2 linked regions of the Saccharomyces cerevisiae S288C genome follow. The protein of the gene in region 1 binds, or shares a complex with, the protein of each later gene. Each region holds a gene or a part of one and is shown in the gene's direction. Other genes may lie near its edges.

Region 1 (4,091 bases):
CATGCCAGTAAAACGGATATTTGACACATTTCCGTTACAAACATATGCTGCGCAGACTGACAAGGACGAGGCCGTTGCATTAGAAATACAGCGGAGGTCCTACACATTCACAGAACGCGGTGGTGGAAGCTCTGAGTTGACTGTGGAGGGGACGTACAAGCTAGGTGTTTACAACGTTTTTTTGGAGGCAAATACAGGGGCGGCATTGGCCACAGATCCATGGTGTCTGTTTGTTCAGCTTGCGCTGTGTCAAAAGAATGGTCTAGTCTTACCCACGCACTCGCAGGAACAAACCCCATCGCATACCTGTAACCATGAAATGCTCGTTCTGTCCCGTCTTTCTAACCCCGATGAGGCCCTACCTATTCTAGTTGAGGGTTACAAGAAGAGAATTATAAGATCCACCGTGGCAATCAGCGAAATTATGAGGTCTCGGATACTTGATGATGCTGAGCAGTTGATGTACTATACGTTGCTGGATACCGTGCTGTACGATTGTTGGATCACGCAAATAATTTTCTGTGCCTCAGATGCGCAATTCATGGAATTGTACTCTTGCCAGAAGTTAAGTGGTTCGATAGTCACTCCATTGGACGTAGAAAACTCTTTATTACAGAAGTTGTCCGCAAAGAGTTTGAAGATATCCCTAACAAAGCGGAACAAGTTCCAGTTCCGCCATCGAGAAATCGTCAAGAGTATGCAAGGAGTTTATCACAACCATCACAACTCCGTTAATCAAGAGCAGGTCTTGAACGTTTTGTTCGAGAATAGCAAGCAAGTTCTTTTAGGTTTAAAAGATATGTTGAAAAGCGACGGGCAACCCACTTACTTACATCTGAAAATTGCAAGTTACATTCTTTGTATAACGAACGTTAAGGAACCCATAAAGCTAAAGACATTTGTTGAAAACGAATGTAAAGAATTGGTCCAGTTTGCACAAGACACCCTGAAGAACTTCGTTCAGTAATCACTTTCAAGCTGTAGTATGTAAACGATATAGATGAAGTTTTCGTGTGTATAAATATATGAACTCTAGAGTGTTGCATAATTTGAAACACAGCATTTCTTTTCGGAGAGCTCGTTTCAAAATGAAACAAACGCCGTTGTCCGTTTTCGTCTCAATAGAAAAAGTGAAACAGATAAAAATTGTTTTAAAAGAAACGAATTTGCAACATCTTAAGATATATCAAAACTAATACAAAACAGCCTAAAAAAGATTGAACAACTCTTCGCGGTCAGGTCTCGACACCATAAATCGAAGTACTCGTACGCTAGTTTTCTCGCACATAGTACCACTACGTTCCTTTTACAATTAGATTACTTCTTTTTAGTTGACTTTTTTGAGACGTTCGTGCCATTCATAAAATAGGAAAAGATAACAGGTAAGCACTGAAGACTTGTTTTATAAGTGTCCCAAGCGAGACCTAGAGTGGATATTGATATTTCTCAAACAAGACTCGTCGAAGAAAACACACTTTTATAGCGGAACCGCTTTCTTTATTTGAATTGTCTTGTTCACCAAGGATGAAAGTCCAAATAACCAATAGTAGAACAGAGGAAATCTTAAAAGTTCAAGCTAATAATGAAAACGATGAAGTCAGTAAAGCTACTCCGGGCGAAGTTGAAGAATCGCTAAGGTTAATCGGCGATCTAAAATTCTTTTTAGCCACAGCGCCGGTAAATTGGCAAGAAAACCAAATTATAAGGCGATACTATCTGAATAGTGGACAAGGCTTTGTCTCTTGTGTATTTTGGAACAATCTATACTATATTACAGGTACTGATATTGTCAAATGTTGTCTTTACAGAATGCAAAAGTTTGGGAGAGAAGTAGTTCAAAAGAAAAAATTTGAAGAGGGTATTTTTTCAGATTTAAGAAATCTCAAATGTGGTATAGATGCAACTTTAGAACAACCAAAGTCCGAATTTTTGTCGTTTCTATTCAGAAATATGTGTCTGAAAACCCAAAAAAAGCAGAAAGTATTTTTTTGGTTCAGTGTAGCACATGATAAGTTGTTTGCGGATGCGTTGGAAAGAGATTTAAAAAGAGAAAGTTTGAATCAGCCTTCAACGACTAAGCCCGTTAATGAGCCCGCCTTATCTTTTTCATATGATTCCTCATCTGATAAGCCTCTCTACGATCAGTTACTTCAACATTTAGATTCTAGAAGACCATCTAGTACAACAAAATCAGATAATTCGCCTCCAAAATTAGAAAGCGAGAATTTTAAGGATAATGAGTTGGTAACAGTAACTAATCAGCCGCTTTTAGGCGTTGGCCTCATGGATGACGATGCGCCAGAATCCCCCTCTCAAATTAATGATTTTATTCCTCAGAAATTGATTATAGAACCCAATACTCTCGAATTGAATGGTCTCACAGAAGAAACGCCTCATGACTTACCCAAGAATACCGCTAAGGGCAGAGACGAAGAAGATTTTCCTCTCGACTATTTTCCTGTATCTGTTGAATACCCTACGGAGGAAAATGCGTTTGATCCGTTCCCTCCACAGGCTTTTACGCCAGCTGCCCCTTCCATGCCTATTTCCTATGATAACGTGAATGAAAGGGATTCTATGCCCGTTAATTCTCTTCTTAATAGATACCCCTATCAGTTATCAGTGGCACCCACTTTCCCAGTGCCACCATCATCATCGAGGCAACATTTTATGACAAATCGGGATTTTTATTCATCTAACAATAACAAGGAAAAATTGGTATCTCCTAGCGACCCTACCAGCTACATGAAGTATGACGAACCAGTTATGGATTTTGATGAATCTCGGCCAAATGAAAACTGTACAAATGCAAAATCTCACAACTCTGGCCAGCAAACTAAACAACACCAATTATATTCTAACAACTTCCAGCAATCTTACCCAAACGGAATGGTTCCAGGATACTACCCAAAAATGCCGTATAATCCCATGGGGGGGGATCCTCTACTCGATCAAGCCTTTTATGGCGCGGACGATTTTTTCTTTCCACCAGAAGGATGTGATAACAATATGCTGTATCCACAAACTGCAACTTCATGGAATGTTTTGCCCCCTCAAGCTATGCAACCAGCTCCAACCTATGTTGGGAGACCATACACACCGAATTATAGATCGACACCAGGTTCCGCGATGTTCCCATACATGCAAAGTTCAAATTCCATGCAGTGGAACACTGCTGTTTCACCTTATAGTTCGAGAGCACCATCTACAACTGCTAAAAACTATCCTCCTAGCACATTTTATTCTCAAAATATAAATCAATACCCACGGCGAAGAACTGTGGGAATGAAGTCTTCACAAGGAAATGTTCCAACAGGTAATAAACAATCTGTGGGCAAGTCTGCAAAAATTTCAAAGCCTCTACATATTAAGACAAGTGCTTATCAGAAGCAATACAAAATCAACTTGGAAACGAAAGCCAGGCCAAGTGCTGGTGACGAAGATTCTGCTCATCCTGATAAGAACAAAGAAATTTCGATGCCTACTCCGGATTCCAATACTTTGGTGGTCCAGTCAGAAGAAGGTGGAGCTCATTCACTTGAGGTAGATACCAATCGAAGGTCCGATAAAAACCTTCCAGATGCAACCTGATATAATATAATTTTTGAATTTATGATACAAGAATTAAAAATGCGGGCCAGAATTTAATATTAAACAATACTCAGAAGAAAACAACAAGGACAATCTGTTTTTATAAATAAAACAATCTTATACAAGACTAGAGCAAACAAAAAGCAAGAAAAAAAGGTAATAAATGTAACAAATCTATTAACGTTAGAAAATAACAAAAAAAAAAAAAGAAAAAGATAATATAATATAATACCTTTATATATGTGATTTATCTAGCGTCACAGTATGTAATATAAATATCAATGAGTTTCTTAACATGACCTCCAAAACTACATGATCGCTTAGTATTACAATATGTGTTTATCCACTATTTTGATACCAACGTAGTATTGCCTTTTATTTTTCAGAATGGCAAAGGCCATCGGAAAATTTTTCCACCAGAAAAAGCGAGATTCCTAATTATAAGGTGAAGGCATCGATGTTCATAATAGTTAAAAGTTGTAATCAAAAAAGAAAAAGGT
Region 2 (5,704 bases), on another chromosome or scaffold:
CCTAGAAAGAGCATTGACACGTCCATTCGTCAAGAGATTGGATCATATCTACTATAAATCCGAAAATTTGATAAAAATTATGGAAACTGCTGCTTGGAATATCATACCTGCTCAATTCAAATCTAAATTTACTTCAAAAGACCAGCTCGATTCTGCTGATTATGTCGACAATTTAATAGACGGATTATCGACAATCTTATCCAAGCAAAACAACATTGCTGTTCAAAAACGTGCTATTTTATACAACATTTACTACACTGCATTAAACAAAGATTTCCAAACTGCTAAAGATATGTTACTAACTTCCCAAGTTCAAACAAATATCAACCAATTCGATTCATCCCTACAAATTTTATTCAACAGGGTTGTTGTTCAATTGGGTCTATCCGCCTTTAAATTATGTTTGATTGAAGAATGTCATCAAATTTTGAATGATCTTCTGTCAAGTTCTCACTTAAGAGAAATTTTGGGCCAACAATCCCTACACAGAATATCTCTCAATTCTAGTAACAATGCTTCAGCTGATGAGCGTGCTAGACAATGTTTGCCATATCACCAACACATCAATCTCGATTTAATCGATGTCGTCTTCTTAACATGTTCCTTATTGATCGAAATTCCAAGAATGACTGCCTTCTATTCCGGTATTAAGGTCAAGAGAATTCCTTACTCTCCAAAATCCATTCGTCGTTCCTTAGAACATTACGACAAGTTAAGTTTCCAAGGTCCACCAGAAACTTTAAGAGATTATGTCTTGTTTGCTGCCAAATCAATGCAAAAAGGTAACTGGAGAGACTCTGTTAAATACTTAAGAGAAATAAAATCTTGGGCTTTATTACCAAACATGGAAACGGTGTTGAATAGTTTAACGGAAAGAGTACAAGTTGAATCTTTGAAGACTTATTTCTTTTCTTTCAAGAGGTTCTATTCAAGTTTTTCTGTTGCTAAACTAGCCGAATTATTTGATCTTCCAGAAAATAAGGTGGTTGAAGTTTTGCAATCTGTTATCGCAGAATTGGAAATCCCAGCCAAATTAAACGACGAGAAGACCATCTTTGTTGTCGAAAAGGGTGATGAAATTACTAAATTGGAAGAAGCAATGGTAAAATTGAACAAAGAATATAAAATCGCTAAAGAACGTCTTAACCCACCATCAAATCGTCGTTGATCAATAAAATCAAAAACTACTTCGAAAGCATTCTTAACAAAAAATCATTGTAGATAGAAGAATAACATCAGCAACCAAAAAATATAGAAGGAAACTAAGCAGGAGAGTATAAACCATATTCACTTTTGCTTTTTATTCTTGATATTGCTCATCTTTTTTTTTTTCGATTCTTTTAGCGATCTCTTTATTTTTAGTTTTAGGGTTTGAATCTAATCGTCTTCACTGTACATTACACATAAGCAAATATATATATAGTTTTTTTTGTTACGTAAACACTCTTTATAATATAATACAAACTATTAAACTTTAAGAAAAGTATGATATGCCGCTTTATTTCTTCATCAAATATAATCTCAAAATATATGGATCATGAGTGTTGATAAATAATCCAATAGCCTATCATGGACTATCTGTTTGACATTCTAAAAAAAAAAATAAATTGTACGAACTGCAGTAAATCGGTATTATCATCATGACGCACGATATCAATTCTTTGCAGAAACTGAAAAATTTTTCATTTTCTACCCAGGAAAAAAAGAAAAATGAAATTCACTAAAAAAATGGGAATACTAATACCAGACGGTCCAATAATCACTATAGTATTATAGACAGCTATAACAGTGATCGAAGTTCGGCGCTCTTCAGATACCGAGTGGCTAATAGACTGAGTAGATCAAAGTGGCAGATAGCCCAAACAAAAGTAATTAGCTTGCAAGCCACTTTATCCTAACGACACGTGATTTCAACCGTAACTAGAGCCATCGCTATGTCTGCTTTACCGGAAGAAGTTAATAGAACATTACTTCAGATTGTCCAGGCGTTTGCTTCCCCTGACAATCAAATACGTTCTGTAGCTGAGAAGGCTCTTAGTGAAGAATGGATTACCGAAAACAATATTGAGTATCTTTTAACTTTTTTGGCTGAACAAGCCGCTTTCTCCCAAGATACAACAGTTGCAGCATTATCTGCTGTTCTGTTTAGAAAATTAGCATTAAAAGCTCCCCCTTCTTCGAAGCTTATGATTATGTCCAAAAATATCACACATATTAGGAAAGAAGTTCTTGCACAAATTCGTTCTTCATTGTTAAAAGGGTTTTTGTCGGAAAGAGCTGATTCAATTAGGCACAAACTATCTGATGCTATTGCTGAGTGTGTTCAAGACGACTTACCAGCATGGCCAGAATTACTACAAGCTTTAATAGAGTCTTTAAAAAGCGGTAACCCAAATTTTAGAGAATCCAGTTTTAGAATTTTGACGACTGTACCTTATTTAATTACCGCTGTTGACATCAACAGTATCTTACCAATTTTTCAATCAGGCTTTACTGATGCAAGTGATAATGTCAAAATTGCTGCAGTTACGGCTTTCGTGGGTTATTTTAAGCAACTACCAAAATCTGAGTGGTCCAAGTTAGGTATTTTATTACCAAGTCTTTTGAATAGTTTACCAAGATTTTTAGATGATGGTAAGGACGATGCCCTTGCATCAGTTTTTGAATCGTTAATTGAGTTGGTGGAATTGGCACCAAAACTATTCAAGGATATGTTTGACCAAATAATACAATTCACTGATATGGTTATAAAAAATAAGGATTTAGAACCTCCAGCAAGAACCACAGCACTCGAACTGCTAACCGTTTTCAGCGAGAACGCTCCCCAAATGTGTAAATCGAACCAGAATTACGGGCAAACTTTAGTGATGGTTACTTTAATCATGATGACGGAGGTATCCATAGATGATGATGATGCAGCAGAATGGATAGAATCTGACGATACCGATGATGAAGAGGAAGTTACATATGACCACGCTCGTCAAGCTCTTGATCGTGTTGCTTTAAAGCTGGGTGGTGAATATTTGGCTGCACCATTGTTCCAATATTTACAGCAAATGATCACATCAACCGAATGGAGAGAAAGATTCGCGGCCATGATGGCACTTTCCTCTGCAGCTGAGGGTTGTGCTGATGTTCTGATCGGCGAGATCCCAAAAATCCTGGATATGGTAATTCCCCTCATCAACGATCCTCATCCAAGAGTACAGTATGGATGTTGTAATGTTTTGGGTCAAATATCTACTGATTTTTCACCATTCATTCAAAGAACTGCACACGATAGAATTTTGCCGGCTTTAATATCTAAACTAACGTCAGAATGCACCTCAAGAGTTCAAACGCACGCCGCAGCGGCTCTGGTTAACTTTTCTGAATTCGCTTCGAAGGATATTCTTGAGCCTTACTTGGATAGTCTATTGACAAATTTATTAGTTTTATTACAAAGCAACAAACTTTACGTACAGGAACAGGCCCTAACAACCATTGCATTTATTGCTGAAGCTGCAAAGAATAAATTTATCAAGTATTACGATACTCTAATGCCATTATTATTAAATGTTTTGAAGGTTAACAATAAAGATAATAGTGTTTTGAAAGGTAAATGTATGGAATGTGCAACTCTGATTGGTTTTGCCGTTGGTAAGGAAAAATTTCATGAGCACTCTCAAGAGCTGATTTCTATATTGGTCGCTTTACAAAACTCAGATATCGATGAAGATGATGCGCTCAGATCATACTTAGAACAAAGTTGGAGCAGGATTTGCCGAATTCTGGGTGATGATTTTGTTCCGTTGTTACCGATTGTTATACCACCCCTGCTAATTACTGCCAAAGCAACGCAAGACGTCGGTTTAATTGAAGAAGAAGAAGCAGCAAATTTCCAACAATATCCAGATTGGGATGTTGTTCAAGTTCAGGGAAAACACATTGCTATTCACACATCCGTCCTTGACGATAAAGTATCAGCAATGGAGCTATTACAAAGCTATGCGACACTTTTAAGAGGCCAATTTGCTGTATATGTTAAAGAAGTAATGGAAGAAATAGCTCTACCATCGCTTGACTTTTACCTACATGACGGTGTTCGTGCTGCAGGAGCAACTTTAATTCCTATTCTATTATCTTGTTTACTTGCAGCCACCGGTACTCAAAACGAGGAATTGGTATTGTTGTGGCATAAAGCTTCGTCTAAACTAATCGGAGGCTTAATGTCAGAACCAATGCCAGAAATCACGCAAGTTTATCACAACTCGTTAGTGAATGGTATTAAAGTCATGGGTGACAATTGCTTAAGCGAAGACCAATTAGCGGCATTTACTAAGGGTGTCTCCGCCAACTTAACTGACACTTACGAAAGGATGCAGGATCGCCATGGTGATGGTGATGAATATAATGAAAATATTGATGAAGAGGAAGACTTTACTGACGAAGATCTTCTCGATGAAATCAACAAGTCTATCGCGGCCGTTTTGAAAACCACAAATGGTCATTATCTAAAGAATTTGGAGAATATATGGCCTATGATAAACACATTCCTTTTAGATAATGAACCAATTTTAGTCATTTTTGCATTAGTAGTGATTGGTGACTTGATTCAATATGGTGGCGAACAAACTGCTAGCATGAAGAACGCATTTATTCCAAAGGTTACCGAGTGCTTGATTTCTCCTGACGCTCGTATTCGCCAAGCTGCTTCTTATATAATCGGTGTTTGTGCCCAATACGCTCCATCTACATATGCTGACGTTTGCATACCGACTTTAGATACACTTGTTCAGATTGTCGATTTTCCAGGCTCCAAACTGGAAGAAAATCGTTCTTCAACAGAGAATGCCAGTGCAGCCATCGCCAAAATTCTTTATGCATACAATTCCAACATTCCTAACGTAGACACGTACACGGCTAATTGGTTCAAAACGTTACCAACAATAACTGACAAAGAAGCTGCCTCATTCAACTATCAATTTTTGAGTCAATTGATTGAAAATAATTCGCCAATTGTGTGTGCTCAATCTAATATCTCCGCTGTAGTTGATTCAGTCATACAAGCCTTGAATGAGAGAAGTTTGACCGAAAGGGAAGGCCAAACGGTGATAAGTTCAGTTAAAAAGTTGTTGGGATTTTTGCCTTCTAGTGATGCTATGGCAATTTTCAATAGATATCCAGCTGATATTATGGAGAAAGTACATAAATGGTTTGCATAAAGACGTTTAATAGAAAGAAGAACAATGTTAAGTAGTTCTATAAGGAATATTAAATGAATATTGTCTTTTTTGATGATTTAAAAACATATAATGTAACAATAGTGTTCTTTTTAATTTACCGGTGGTAATAGCGAATAGAATCTTATAAAACTTACATAGAAAAAAAATATATACTATACTTACAACTTTTCATTTTTTTCGTAAAAACTACCCCACAATGAAATAAGATACCATACCTTATCGAGTTATTATGTATGTGTCGAAGCTTTTTAAACCAAAGCAAAACCGACACCAGCGGCAATGGATAAGGAAATGATGGAGGTAAAGACCACTTGTGCTAAGTTAGCTTTAACGTTGGTGGCAGCATTCTTCTTGCTAGAAGATGAAGATGAAGCTGAAGAAGAAGAAGAAGAACTGGAAGAACCAGAAGAGCCGGAGTTAGACTTGGAAGAAGACCCCGAAGCGTTAGAAGAGGCAGTACTGGATTCAGTTCCGGAACC

What was found.
Region 2: the proteins of STE12 (region 1) and PSE1 are in contact, whole or in part, in a crystal structure (PDB 3W3W), measured with the Saccharomyces cerevisiae proteins. Residues at the interface, in NP_011952.1 of Saccharomyces cerevisiae: Ala607 (codon at 3,343), Lys608 (codon at 3,346), Ile609 (codon at 3,349), Ser610 (codon at 3,352), Lys611 (codon at 3,355), Pro612 (codon at 3,358), Leu613 (codon at 3,361), His614 (codon at 3,364), Ile615 (codon at 3,367), Lys616 (codon at 3,370); in NP_014039.1 of Saccharomyces cerevisiae: Glu287 (codon at 2,793), Asp346 (codon at 2,970), His347 (codon at 2,973), Arg349 (codon at 2,979), Gln350 (codon at 2,982), Asp353 (codon at 2,991), Arg354 (codon at 2,994), Leu357 (codon at 3,003), Ser392 (codon at 3,108), Ser393 (codon at 3,111), Glu396 (codon at 3,120), Cys429 (codon at 3,219), Asn430 (codon at 3,222), Gly433 (codon at 3,231), Gln434 (codon at 3,234), Asp438 (codon at 3,246), His470 (codon at 3,342), Ala473 (codon at 3,351), Ala474 (codon at 3,354), Val476 (codon at 3,360), Asn477 (codon at 3,363), Glu480 (codon at 3,372), Gln512 (codon at 3,468), Thr515 (codon at 3,477), Lys556 (codon at 3,600).

Annotation. Positions count from the first base shown.
Region 1 is NC_001140.6:272,650-276,740, forward strand, and holds STE12 (homeodomain family transcription factor STE12), read left to right. Parts: upstream 1-1,524; coding exon 1,525-3,591; downstream 3,592-4,091. Other genes in the region: SAM complex subunit SAM35, read left to right, coding at 1-967. UniProt on the Saccharomyces cerevisiae protein: Binds to the DNA sequence mediating pheromone induction (called the pheromone response element = PRE) which is found in the upstream control region of several a-, alpha- and haploid-specific genes.
Region 2 is NC_001145.3:888,452-894,155, reverse strand, and holds PSE1 (importin PSE1), read left to right. Parts: upstream 1-1,934; coding exon 1,935-5,204; downstream 5,205-5,704. Other genes in the region: NIP1 (translation initiation factor eIF3 core subunit c), read left to right, coding at 1-1,168; 1,3-beta-glucanosyltransferase GAS1, read right to left, coding at 5,474-5,704. UniProt on the Saccharomyces cerevisiae protein: Functions in nuclear protein import as nuclear transport receptor. Serves as receptor for classical and arginine/glycine-rich nuclear localization signals (cNLS and rg-NLS) in cargo substrates.